Saccharomyces cerevisiae S288C: one gene and its partners. The gene in region 2 interacts genetically with the main gene of each other region. Each region holds a gene or a part of one and is shown on either strand. Other genes may lie near its edges. The genes, in order: MOB1, NET1 and CDC15.

What was found.
Region 1: of NET1 (region 2) and MOB1, a mutation in one rescues a mutant of the other (synthetic rescue), as found in Saccharomyces cerevisiae (2 studies listed by BioGRID).
Region 3: of NET1 (region 2) and CDC15, a mutation in one rescues a mutant of the other (synthetic rescue), as found in Saccharomyces cerevisiae (3 studies listed by BioGRID).

The regions. Positions count from the first base shown.
Region 1 is NC_001141.2:164,389-168,043, reverse strand, and holds MOB1 (Mob1p), read right to left. Parts: upstream 1,630-3,655; coding exon 1,610-1,629; intron 1,525-1,609; coding exon 600-1,524; downstream 1-599. Other genes in the region: YIL105W-A (uncharacterized protein), read right to left, coding at 240-380; SLM1 (phosphatidylinositol 4,5-bisphosphate-binding protein), read left to right, coding at 1-463; PFK26 (6-phosphofructo-2-kinase), read left to right, coding at 2,283-3,655. UniProt on the Saccharomyces cerevisiae protein: Functions as an activator subunit for the DBF2 protein kinase. Binds to DBF2, which is required for the phosphorylation and activation of DBF2 by the upstream kinase CDC15 in late anaphase.
Region 2 is NC_001142.9:293,321-297,077, reverse strand, and holds the start of NET1 (Net1p), read right to left. Parts: upstream 1,834-3,757; coding exon 1-1,833. Other genes in the region: YJL077W-A (uncharacterized protein), read right to left, coding at 2,193-2,279; ICS3 (Ics3p), read left to right, coding at 2,017-2,412; YJL077W-B (uncharacterized protein), read right to left, coding at 2,933-3,031; PRY3 (Pry3p), read left to right, coding at 3,097-3,757. UniProt on the Saccharomyces cerevisiae protein: Has a role in chromosome maintenance and is involved in mitotic exit. Inhibits the action of CDC14 by sequestering it in the nucleolus. Also binds to RNA polymerase I and stimulates rRNA synthesis.
Region 3 is NC_001133.9:173,389-177,145, forward strand, and holds the start of CDC15 (serine/threonine protein kinase CDC15), read right to left. Parts: upstream 1,748-3,757; coding exon 1-1,747. Other genes in the region: seripauperin PAU7, read right to left, coding at 3,468-3,635. UniProt on the Saccharomyces cerevisiae protein: Protein kinase of the mitotic exit network (MEN) essential for late nuclear division in the mitotic cycle. Promotes mitotic exit by phosphorylating DBF2 and directly switching on DBF2 kinase activity.

The DNA of each region.
Region 1 (3,655 bases), on a different chromosome or scaffold from region 2:
ACCAAATTCGACTGGTTCGGATGCTAAGTTTGTGTTGCATGCTAAGCAAAACGGCATAATTCGTCGTGGTCACAATTGGGTTTTTAAAGCCGATTCTTATGAATCAATGATGTCTTGGTTTGATAATTTGAAGATCTTAACATCTACTTCGAATATACAAGACAAGTATAAATTCATAACACAAAAATTAAACTTGAATTCAGATGGGAAACCCAAGCTAACCAATAACCATACCAGCATTAATAAGTATCAGCTGAGTAATGCCAATAGCACAATGGTAGAAAATGATGAAAACGATGATATAAATAGTAATTATGTGGGGTCCACGGTAACACCAAAATTGGACAATCAAACAAATACGAATACATCCATGTCTTCATTACCTGATACTAATGATTCTGAATTACAAGATCAAGTTCCCAATATTTATATTCAAACTCCAATAAACGATTTCAAATCATAAATACAAGTATAGTAAACTAGAATGTTTTTATTTCCTTCCATCCATATGTTATATTAATATGTTTCCGTATTTTTGTTTTTGTGTCCCATGCATGGAAGAATACAACCTACAAGCAGACTTATATAAATATACAATACTACCTATCCCTCAACTCCATCACTAATTCTAACAGCGGACCAAAATCAGCCGGTCTTAGTAGTTCGAACTCTTGTGCAAAAAGACAAAAATGTCTAAAACTTGTGTTTAGTACGGTTTGTAAATTTAGTTCAAGAATTTCATTAAAATGATGACAGTAAATATGCGCATAAACTCTGAATAATCGCCTTAGAATTGGTTGAATTACTCGTTGGATGAATCCCTCCGGGAAGGTACCGGTGACTTTGGAAGGAAAAAGAGATTCGTCATCAAATTGGTCTTGACACCACCTCATCAAACATTCCACATACTTAGGGGCACTTACCGAAACGGGGGGCTGACCCTTTTGAAATGCCCAAAGATATTCATATTCGTTCGTCGCTATCATCCTCGGGCATGTTTGTGGGGAGCAAAATTCTGTGATGGACCCGTATAACATATTAATCTGATTGTAAAAATCCACGCAATGAACCGCTAGCCATTCATTCTCATCCTCACCACGCGGTAACTTCACAGCTTGGTTAAGGACTCCCTCAGACCCCAGTGTCATCTCCACAATTTGCTTGATGTCTTGATGTGTTGTAACTGTCGTACCTGCTTGCGGTTGTAGAAACGGCTTCTGATGCGATGGTGTATAGTTAAAGTCCGTTACATTTTGTAATTGTTCAGGCGGAGGGGCGTGCCTCTTTGGCGTAGTGAGGACGGGAGACATCCTTCCATGGTCGCTTTCATTATATCCGTTTACTGGATTGTTTGTAAAATCTGCTCTATTGTTAATAGTATTGGCATTATTATTATTGCCGTTAATAGTATTGTTATGGGGAGTTGCCTTAGTAGGCGATACAGAGCCTGCATTATTAGCTGCATTGGCAGTATTCCACTTGAAACCTCTAGTAGATCTTATTGTTTGGCCGGGACTTATATGACTGCTTTCAAAAGGTAACTCATACCCAGTTTGTTAATAAAAGATGAACAATAATACTTGAAGTAGAAAAGAAAATAGCAACATACAAATTTTGTAGAAAAGACATGGAAATTGAAGTCCTTATTGAATTAGGAAAATTTTGTTGAAGATACTAACAAAAAAACCGGTTTTCTCTCGAATAAACTAAAAAAATATCTATACAGCTCAAACGGGCTGAGCTAAGGCTCTTTTAGATCAGTAATGTTACCAAAGCTATAATTGTAATTCTTCTAACGTTTTGATATTTCCATTTTGGGAAGTAGTATTACCCTTCTTTTGATCGAACGTATTTGTCATATTATACGAGTGGGATACCCGACCGATAATAATAATCACGTTTATATCACGTGATCATCTCTGAATACCAAAATCACAACATACGGAAATTAGGGGACATAAGATTTTTTGAGGAGAGATTTCTTTTCCTATTTATTTTTAATCGCGCCATTACTGACAATAGCAAATTAATTTATAGTGGAGTACATGGACTATTTATTATAGATTTTGTTGGCATATTCTTTTTTTAACAATAAAAGGTATACATATATATATATAGACAAACTCAAGTATTCAGTTACGGGTAAATCAAGTGAAATAAATTTCGCCTTTTAGTATCTATTTGTGTACTTTTGTGCCATAAGCTAAAAGAGTAAAAATAATAACAAGAGGCGTAGAAGAAGGGTTTATTCAAGGGAACAAAGGCAAGAGGAATAAAAGCTCATGTTCAAACCAGTAGACTTCTCTGAAACATCTCCTGTGCCGCCTGATATTGATCTTGCTCCTACACAATCTCCACACCATGTGGCACCTAGTCAAGACTCCAGTTATGATCTTTTATCCCGGAGTTCCGATGATAAAATTGATGCTGAAAAGGGTCCGCATGATGAATTATCTAAGCACTTACCACTTTTTCAGAAAAGACCTTTGAGCGATACTCCTATATCGAGCAATTGGAACTCTCCTGGAATCACTGAAGAAAATACACCTTCTGACTCTCCTGAAAATAGCGCTACTAATTTGAAATCGCTACATCGATTGCATATTAACGACGAAACGCAACTAAAAAATGCTAAAATTCCCACAAACGATACTACTGACTACATGCCTCCTTCAGATGGAGCAAATGAGGTAACTCGGATTGATTTGAAAGACATTAAATCACCTACGAGACACCATAAAAGAAGACCTACCACCATCGATGTTCCTGGTTTAACAAAGTCTAAAACATCTCCAGATGGTCTCATATCAAAGGAAGATAGTGGATCAAAGTTAGTGATTGTCATGGTCGGACTGCCAGCTACGGGAAAGTCATTTATTACAAATAAATTATCCAGATTTTTAAATTATTCTTTATACTATTGTAAAGTGTTTAATGTCGGTAACACTAGAAGGAAGTTTGCTAAGGAGCATGGCCTAAAGGACCAGGATTCAAAGTTTTTCGAGCCGAAAAACGCCGACTCTACTAGGTTGAGAGACAAATGGGCCATGGATACTCTGGATGAATTGCTAGATTATTTATTAGAAGGTTCAGGATCTGTGGGAATTTTTGATGCTACAAATACCTCTCGTGAAAGAAGAAAAAACGTTCTGGCTAGAATCAGAAAGAGAAGTCCTCATTTGAAGGTTTTATTTTTAGAATCTGTTTGTTCGGATCATGCACTGGTACAGAAAAATATTAGACTCAAATTATTTGGTCCAGATTACAAAGGTAAAGATCCTGAAAGCTCTTTAAAAGATTTTAAAAGTCGCCTGGCAAACTACTTGAAAGCCTATGAACCAATTGAGGATGACGAAAATTTGCAGTACATCAAAATGATAGATGTGGGAAAGAAAGTCATCGCATACAATATTCAAGGGTTTTTAGCTTCGCAGACGGTATATTATTTGTTAAATTTCAATTTGGCTGACAGACAAATTTGGATAACGAGAAGTGGCGAGAGCGAAGATAATGTTAGTGGCCGTATAGGCGGAAATTCCCATTTGACTCCTCGTGGTCTAAGATTTGCTAAAAGTCTACCAAAATTCATTGCCAGACAGAGAGAAATATTTTATCAAAATCTCATGCAACAAAAAAAGAATAATGAAAATACAGA
Region 2 (3,757 bases):
TGAATCTTGAGGAACAATACGAACCGTAGTATCAACTTCATCATTATCATTGCCATCGTCCTCAATGGTGCCGTTAATGATAGTGCCATCTTCCTTTGAAGCGTTGTTGTTTGAACTAACTTTCCCAGCTAGTGATTTCAACGTCCCATTAGACTTATCAGATGATGCAAGTATTGGCTGATCATTATGTGGAATTGTCGGCAAAATTTCCTTTTCTAAAAGTTTATCATTCGTATCTTCTTTTTCTCTTACCTGATTATCATCTAGGAAATTAGTCATTCTTTTCGGTTCCACAATACCGGAAGGTTCCGCCTGAGATTTCTTTTCCACTATAGTTTCCAGTGAACTCTTTCTTGGTGGTTGATGTTCTTGTTGCTTTCCCCAGGATTCGCCATTTGAAGATTTGGTGATCGAGGTATTGCTTGCCTTGGGAAGTTCTGCTAAATGCACATTGTGTGGCATGGCATCACCGAGAGGACTATTTTTCACCGGAGAGCCATTATTATCTGCGATGGAGCTTTGACTACGTTGCAAGGAAGCCTTTGAATGTGGTTCTGTTTCAGGAGTTTCTTGGTTTTCGCTACTTGAGCTATCGTCGGATTCGTAGTTCTCGCCATTTTCCAAGTAAGGTTTTTTCATTGGAATCTTTGCAGCTTTAGCGGGTAAAATGGAGGCCGGACTGGAAGGTCCCTCTTTTAACTCTTTTTCAATCTCTGAGATTCTTGGCTCGGGGATTTTCAACATTCCTGATGTTATTCTTGGAGTGGTTACGGGTGGTTTCCTATTAATGTCCTGAGCAGTGACAGCAGCTGTGCCACCATTAGCAAATGAAGAGGAAGAAGCTGAAGCAGAGAAAACCAATTCGTTTTTATGTGCGTGTTCAGAAACCACTCTCTGACCGGTAAGAGTAACTCTGTTTGGAGTCATGGTGGACATTATAGGAGTTCCGGACAATAGACGTTGCTGCTTTGTTTTATCTGGATCCACGGTTGCTGATCTGGACACGATATCTTCCTCGACGATGCTTGATTTTATTTTTTTACCTGCGTCAATGCCCGAACTAATTCTTATGGGAGGTGACTGAGGCTGCGTTGGAGGCGGCAAAAAGGATCTTTCACCAATGTCTTCGTCTTCGTCATCTGAGTTGTTGGAGACGATCTTCGAAGAAGGTGGAGGATAAATTTGCCTAGCCAATGGGGTAGAAACCCTCATGGATCCATTAGTGGCACTACGAATGGTTGTTGTTGTCGTGGTTCCTGTAGGTGGCCTCTTCTTGGCAATCCGAAGAACACCTGAAGAGGACGGGATTTGTTGTTGCGGCTGCACCGACTGGGGCGACCCGTTGTTCAACTTGGATCGTTTTACCGACTTATAAAGTGACACTGGTGCGGAATCGTCCAGATCTATCTCATTCTTCAATATAACTCTTACGATATTATTTACATTGAAAACGTCCTTTACCAAAAAATCCGGATCAAGGTCACAACCGCTGTTATCTTGCAAACTCAAAATTTCAATGTCTTCTTGCAAACTCGGGTACATTTTTTCACACTTATCGATGATTTCATCACTCAAGTTCAACAGCGTGTTTGTCGGCTTGGTAAACAAAAGAAACTTCCTAAACCTAGACTGGTTGAAATAGCTTGGCGTGAAACTCACATTGGCAGATCTCAGATTAGCATACTGCAAAGAGGCATCTCCGGCGCTTTGCGCCATATTAGTTCTGTTTGGCAACAATTGAGAAGATTCGGCGATGGTTGGTCCGTAGCCAAACTGTATTGGCATCGTCGCCTGAAGACTCGGAGGCACCAAGACCACTTGTAGCTTGTACATAGAAGGAGGCACGGTGTACAGTAATCGACTTCTCTCTGTTTCAGGCGAACCGAGACTAGGGATTCGATCAGCTCCGGCACTTATTTCATCGTGCTAGCTACTCTTCACTAGTTATTCAAATTGATTATTGACGCTTACCATGAAAAAGAAAAAAAGTTCAAAACATGTGGAACGGGTAACATAATGCACATATCGCTCCCTACGAGAAACAAATCTTATTTTCGAATACGTACACGTACATATCAAATAGGCTTATATCATTCTGACTCTTCACCAATCAGGGACATATCAGTACTACATCTGTTAATAGCAACGTTATGCACTATTTTTTTTCCAATTTTTTTTTCGTTGAGTAAAGTTCAGGTCGTACAGTGGCAAGGAACGACTATTTCTAAAAACTGTATTGCCTTAACCATGTCTTTCCCCTTGAACGCTATCCCTGGCATGTATCTGATAATTGCTTTCCCTCGTCTACAAACAGTAATTCCCCTGCAGCGAAATACTCCTGTTCGAATTACGAAATCGGTGATAGTGAAAGGCGCAGTGAGCGTGCCACGGATCTCCTCTCCGATGCACTAGGGTCCTGTTCCGTGCTCTGGTATCTCGATTAGGAAAGCGGAAGAAAAGAACGGAGGATACCTCTAATTAAGAGGGTCCGTTGTGTTGTGTTAAGCTCGGGTATAGGAAACTTGAAGAGAGGCGAAAAAAACCCAACGATGTGAGGAACGCGTCGCTATTGTTGGTAAGTTTGGCCGAAAAATTGTTTTTCTTCGCACATGGCTGGTTCTGCTGGAGGCGGCTGGGTGTTTATAGTTACCGCAATGCAGGTCGCTTCGTTTACTTTTCTCTGCGTGCTCGAGAACTGATAAATACTGGTTTAGGAAAACCGTCCACTTATGGATTTAACAAGGAGGTGAAAGGTAGGTACCATGGCAATATAGCTAGCAACGCTACGCACTAGCTGTGTGTGCTTGCTCTCTTGTGTTCGTCTTTCGTATATTGCGGGTTCCCGCGGTTAATTCAACAACAAATATGGTATCTAGGCAGGGACCCAGCAACGGAAGGATGTAATTGCTATATAGGGCCGATGAAACAGTTCTCATGTTTCAACTCGGTCGAAGAATTCTCTAAAACATATTCTATACTTCAAAGTTTTTAGCTTCTTGCTTTTCGGTAGTTGCCAAACCAATATCGGCATAAAATTATAATTGCTGCACCCCTGCAACTCCAAACAACTTAAAACAACTTAAAACGAAAACGCTTATGCTGGAGTTTCCAATATCAGTTCTGCTAGGATGCCTAGTAGCCGTCAAGGCACAAACCACGTTTCCAAACTTCGAGAGCGATGTGCTGAACGAGCATAACAAGTTCAGAGCGCTACATGTTGACACAGCGCCGCTCACCTGGTCCGACACTCTGGCCACCTATGCGCAGAACTACGCCGACCAATATGATTGTTCGGGTGTCTTAACGCATTCCGATGGCCCATATGGTGAGAACCTTGCCCTTGGTTACACAGACACGGGAGCGGTGGACGCCTGGTACGGGGAGATAAGCAAGTATAATTATTCAAATCCCGGATTTTCTGAATCCACGGGTCACTTCACACAGGTGGTTTGGAAGTCAACCGCCGAGATTGGATGTGGTTATAAATATTGTGGTACGACATGGAACAATTATATTGTGTGCTCCTACAACCCTCCTGGAAACTACCTGGGTGAGTTTGCAGAGGAAGTGGAACCACTTATAAGCACTGTTTCCTCGTCCTCATCCTCGTCCTCTTCTACCTCAACTACATCAGACACAGTCTCCACCATCTCATCCAGTATTATGCCCGCTGTAGCGCAAGGGTATACAACAACGGTATCGTCTGCGGCTAGCAGCAGTTCTTTAAAATCGACGACCATAAACCCTGCCAAGACCG
Region 3 (3,757 bases), on a different chromosome or scaffold from region 2:
AAGAATGAACAGGGGACCTTGATGGAGACTGTACCGAATTCACTGGTGAGTTCCTCGTGGGTGAGGAGGATAACGGTAGAGAGGAAGAAGAAGGAATAGCGGACTTGTGTATTTTATCGTCATTCGTGGTTATCATATAGTTTATTGATTTGAAGACTACGTAAGTAATTTGAGGACTGATTAAAATTTTCTTTTTTAGCTTAGAGTCAATTAAAGAGGGCAAAATTTTCTCAAAAGACCATGGTGCATATGACGATAGCTTTAGTAGTATGGATTGGGCTCTTCTTTCATGGATGTTATTCAGAAGGAGTGATATATCGAGGTGTTTGAAACACCAGCGACACCAGAAGGCTGTGGATGTTAAATCGTAGAACCTATAGACGAGTTCTAAAATATACTTTGGGGTTTTCAGCGATGCAAAATTCGGAGGATACATTATTCCACATTCAATTAAAGTCTGAGGGTAGTCGATGACGAACTCTTTGGCTAAATGTTCGAATTTAATGATCAGTGGAATTCCTCCCATAGCGATGAATTTCAGTCGCAACCTAGAGTGGTTATGCTGGGTATCGTAAACAAAAATGGAGCCAAATGCAGTTATTAATCGTTTATCAACAGTTGTGCGCGACAGACACTCGATAATTGTATCAGCGATGTTCTCGAGGGAGCAAACACTGAAAAGCACATGCAAGTCCGTCAAAGGCTTAGATGAACTCTTCAATTGGCTCAGCAATTGACTTTCAGTGGGGGGCATTAAATCTAGTTCTTGATTGTTTTCTGCCCAGGCAGCGGGAGCCGCTGCAAGACTGAATTTAGAGGGTGATATATTTAGTTTCTCTTCTTGAAAATCGGCATCCCAATGATAATCAGCGTCGGTAAAGTCCTCCTTGAACTTGTTGAGCTTGTCGACCTTCACATTTTCGGTAGAGTTGATCCACACATGCTTGAGTAACTGGTCGGCTGTCGGCCTCTTGTACATGTTTTTCACAAAGCATTTAGATAAGAAATCCTTTAGTGGCTCAGAGAAAGAGCTAGGTGGGTAGTAGGTATCATTTTCAACAGCGTAGTAGATATTGGCGTCTGTCAAATTGTGGTAGGGTGGATTCTTTGTGAGCATTTCAACTACAGTGGCACCTAGAGACCAAATGTCGCTGAGCGTAGAAGCTCCCCTGTTGCCCAGGATCTCTGGAGCCATCCAATTGAGTGTGCCCGCTAGCGTTAAGGCGCTGGAGTTCACAATAGTGGAAACGCCAAAATCAGCAAGTTTGACAGTGTTATCAGCACTCAGCAGGATGTTAGCCGCCTTGATGTCCCTGTGGATGACTCCTTCACCGTGTAAATATTTCAGCCCCAATAGTGTCTGTGTCACATAGGTTTTCGATTCATTTTCACTTAATCCGGTAGAGCTCCTTGAAATGAGCCTCCTCAAAGAACCATTAGCGCAGTATTCGAGGAGGATATACAATTCATAGCTTTTTCGTATGAAGCCGTGGTATTTAACAATATTGTTATGGTTTAAATTTTTTAACAAGCTAATTTCTGCCATAATGTCATTAAGTTCCTCATCATTTTCGTACACGACCTCCTTTATTGCCACGACTTGGTCAGTATGTTTATTAATGGCTTTGTAAACTACCCCGTAAGAACCCCTCCCAATGACCTGCTTCAAGTGGTATTGCACGGATTTCTCAGATGCCCTCTGGATGGGAGTCAAGTTGACTCTATCGGTATCGGCCATACTGTTCATGGTATAGTCTTACCAGGAAAATGGGTAGTGCTTATGTGTGTTTTGTCCTTCCTCGAGCCTCCAAGTAGAAGATATACCTTTTGTGAGGCAGATCTCCCGTATACAAAAATAACAGCAAGAAAAGCGGAAAGACCATCGCAAGGTGGAAAGGATTATAATGGCACAGCAAAGTCCGCACAGAGCACTACAGTATAGCATAGAGTGCTAATGAGTTGATAGGCCCAATTTTGATTATGCCTCTTTTCCATACACGACGCCAGAGGACATTATTACATTACAGTAGTTCGCCGCTAGATGACAAACGACATCCTTACCGATATGAGATGTGCAAAGCTACATAATGGCAACAAGCGTTATGAACAGCCTTGTCTTTACGACCACAGAAAAGCCGTATTAGAGCTCTTCAGCTGCAAAATTTTCTTCTAATATGATGCAAAGCCATCAAAAATCATGCATAGTTATGAAATACCTGATGAAACGCTTCGAGTTCGTGCTCAAGAAATTACTGAAAGGTTACCGAGAAGAAAAATATCTATGAGACACGATAAGGCCCCTTCTGAATCCATTGTCCTGGGCTTGTTCATTCTATTTACCACTTAAAATTGATCCTTTCAAAGGAATTTTTTTCTATTTCCAATAGTATATTTGTACAAAAACTACAAAAATGGATAAAAAATAACAGTAATTTGTGACTACTGTAAATATCACTGATTTGGATTTTGTAATGAGTACTGCTCATGCCCATGCCGATGCAAGTGGATCATAAATTTTACTAAACGATATTCGATAATGCGCCAAGCCTTTATAAGGAACTCAAAATAACCCATATGGACAGTTTCAGAAGGCCAAATAACGATCAAGGACATTCACTCATGTTTTTCAAAGGCGAAGAGTGTAAAATTTTCTTCTATATAGTTCGAATATTTTATCTTATAAATTTCAGTCGTCATTTTCCACATTCGAACTCAAATAATGATAAAGAACGCTGCAGTAATGGCTTAAAAAAACATACTTTATAACCCATTATCTCTTACGTGTAATTTAAAATTGTTTATAGTACTATTTGGTTATGCTTGTATGCCTCTATTATTTACTTGATCTTTTTATGTTTTCTTATGATTGAATTATTTATATTCTAAATTCCTCACGAATTTATACTGAAGATTTCCTTCCAGGCGAGAATAATAAACACATATTTATGATGATAACAAGACGAACGTGTATTAAGCTCCCAGTACGAGGGAAGCAGTAAAAATTATCCCAAGATCCATTTAAAATGGATAACTCCACGAGCTACAACAAAATACTAAGGGAATAGGCCGTTATTTCCGTAAAGGATGGTTTAATAATAAGAAATTTATAATATTAATAATACATATATACAAAAATTTATATTTATATACATGCGCCTAACTATTCATACTATTAATTTCATATTATTAAGCTTTTTTTTTTTCATTTATCATTTTTTTTCGTAACCTCTCATACCTGTACAGGTTTCATTCGTAAAGCAGGGACTCTAGTTTGCGATAGTGTAGATACCGTCTACGGATAGAGCACTAGAGATAGCTGGCTTTAATCTGCTGGAGTACCATGGAACACCAGTGATAACTCTGGTAACTTGGTCGGCGGGAATACCAGTCAACATGGTGGTGAAATCACCGTAGTTGAAAACAGCTTCTGCAATTTCAACTGGATAAGTTTCAGTTGGGTGAGCAGCTTAGAAAGAGTAGTATTCAGCCAAATGAGCTCTGATATCGGAAACATAAACACCTAATTCAACCAAATTAACTCTTTCGTCAGATTGAGATAATGTAGTGGTTGCTGCGGCGGAGGCACCAGCAGCAATGGCGGCGACACCGGCAGCGATTGAAGTTAATTTGACCATTGTATTTGTTGTTTTTTGGGTTATTGCTTAGTGATGATATAGGCTTAACTGGAAGGAAAAGAACAGAGAAATGTCTCAAACAAAGCTGATCAAGCCGCTGTATTTATATGAAACTTTGAACA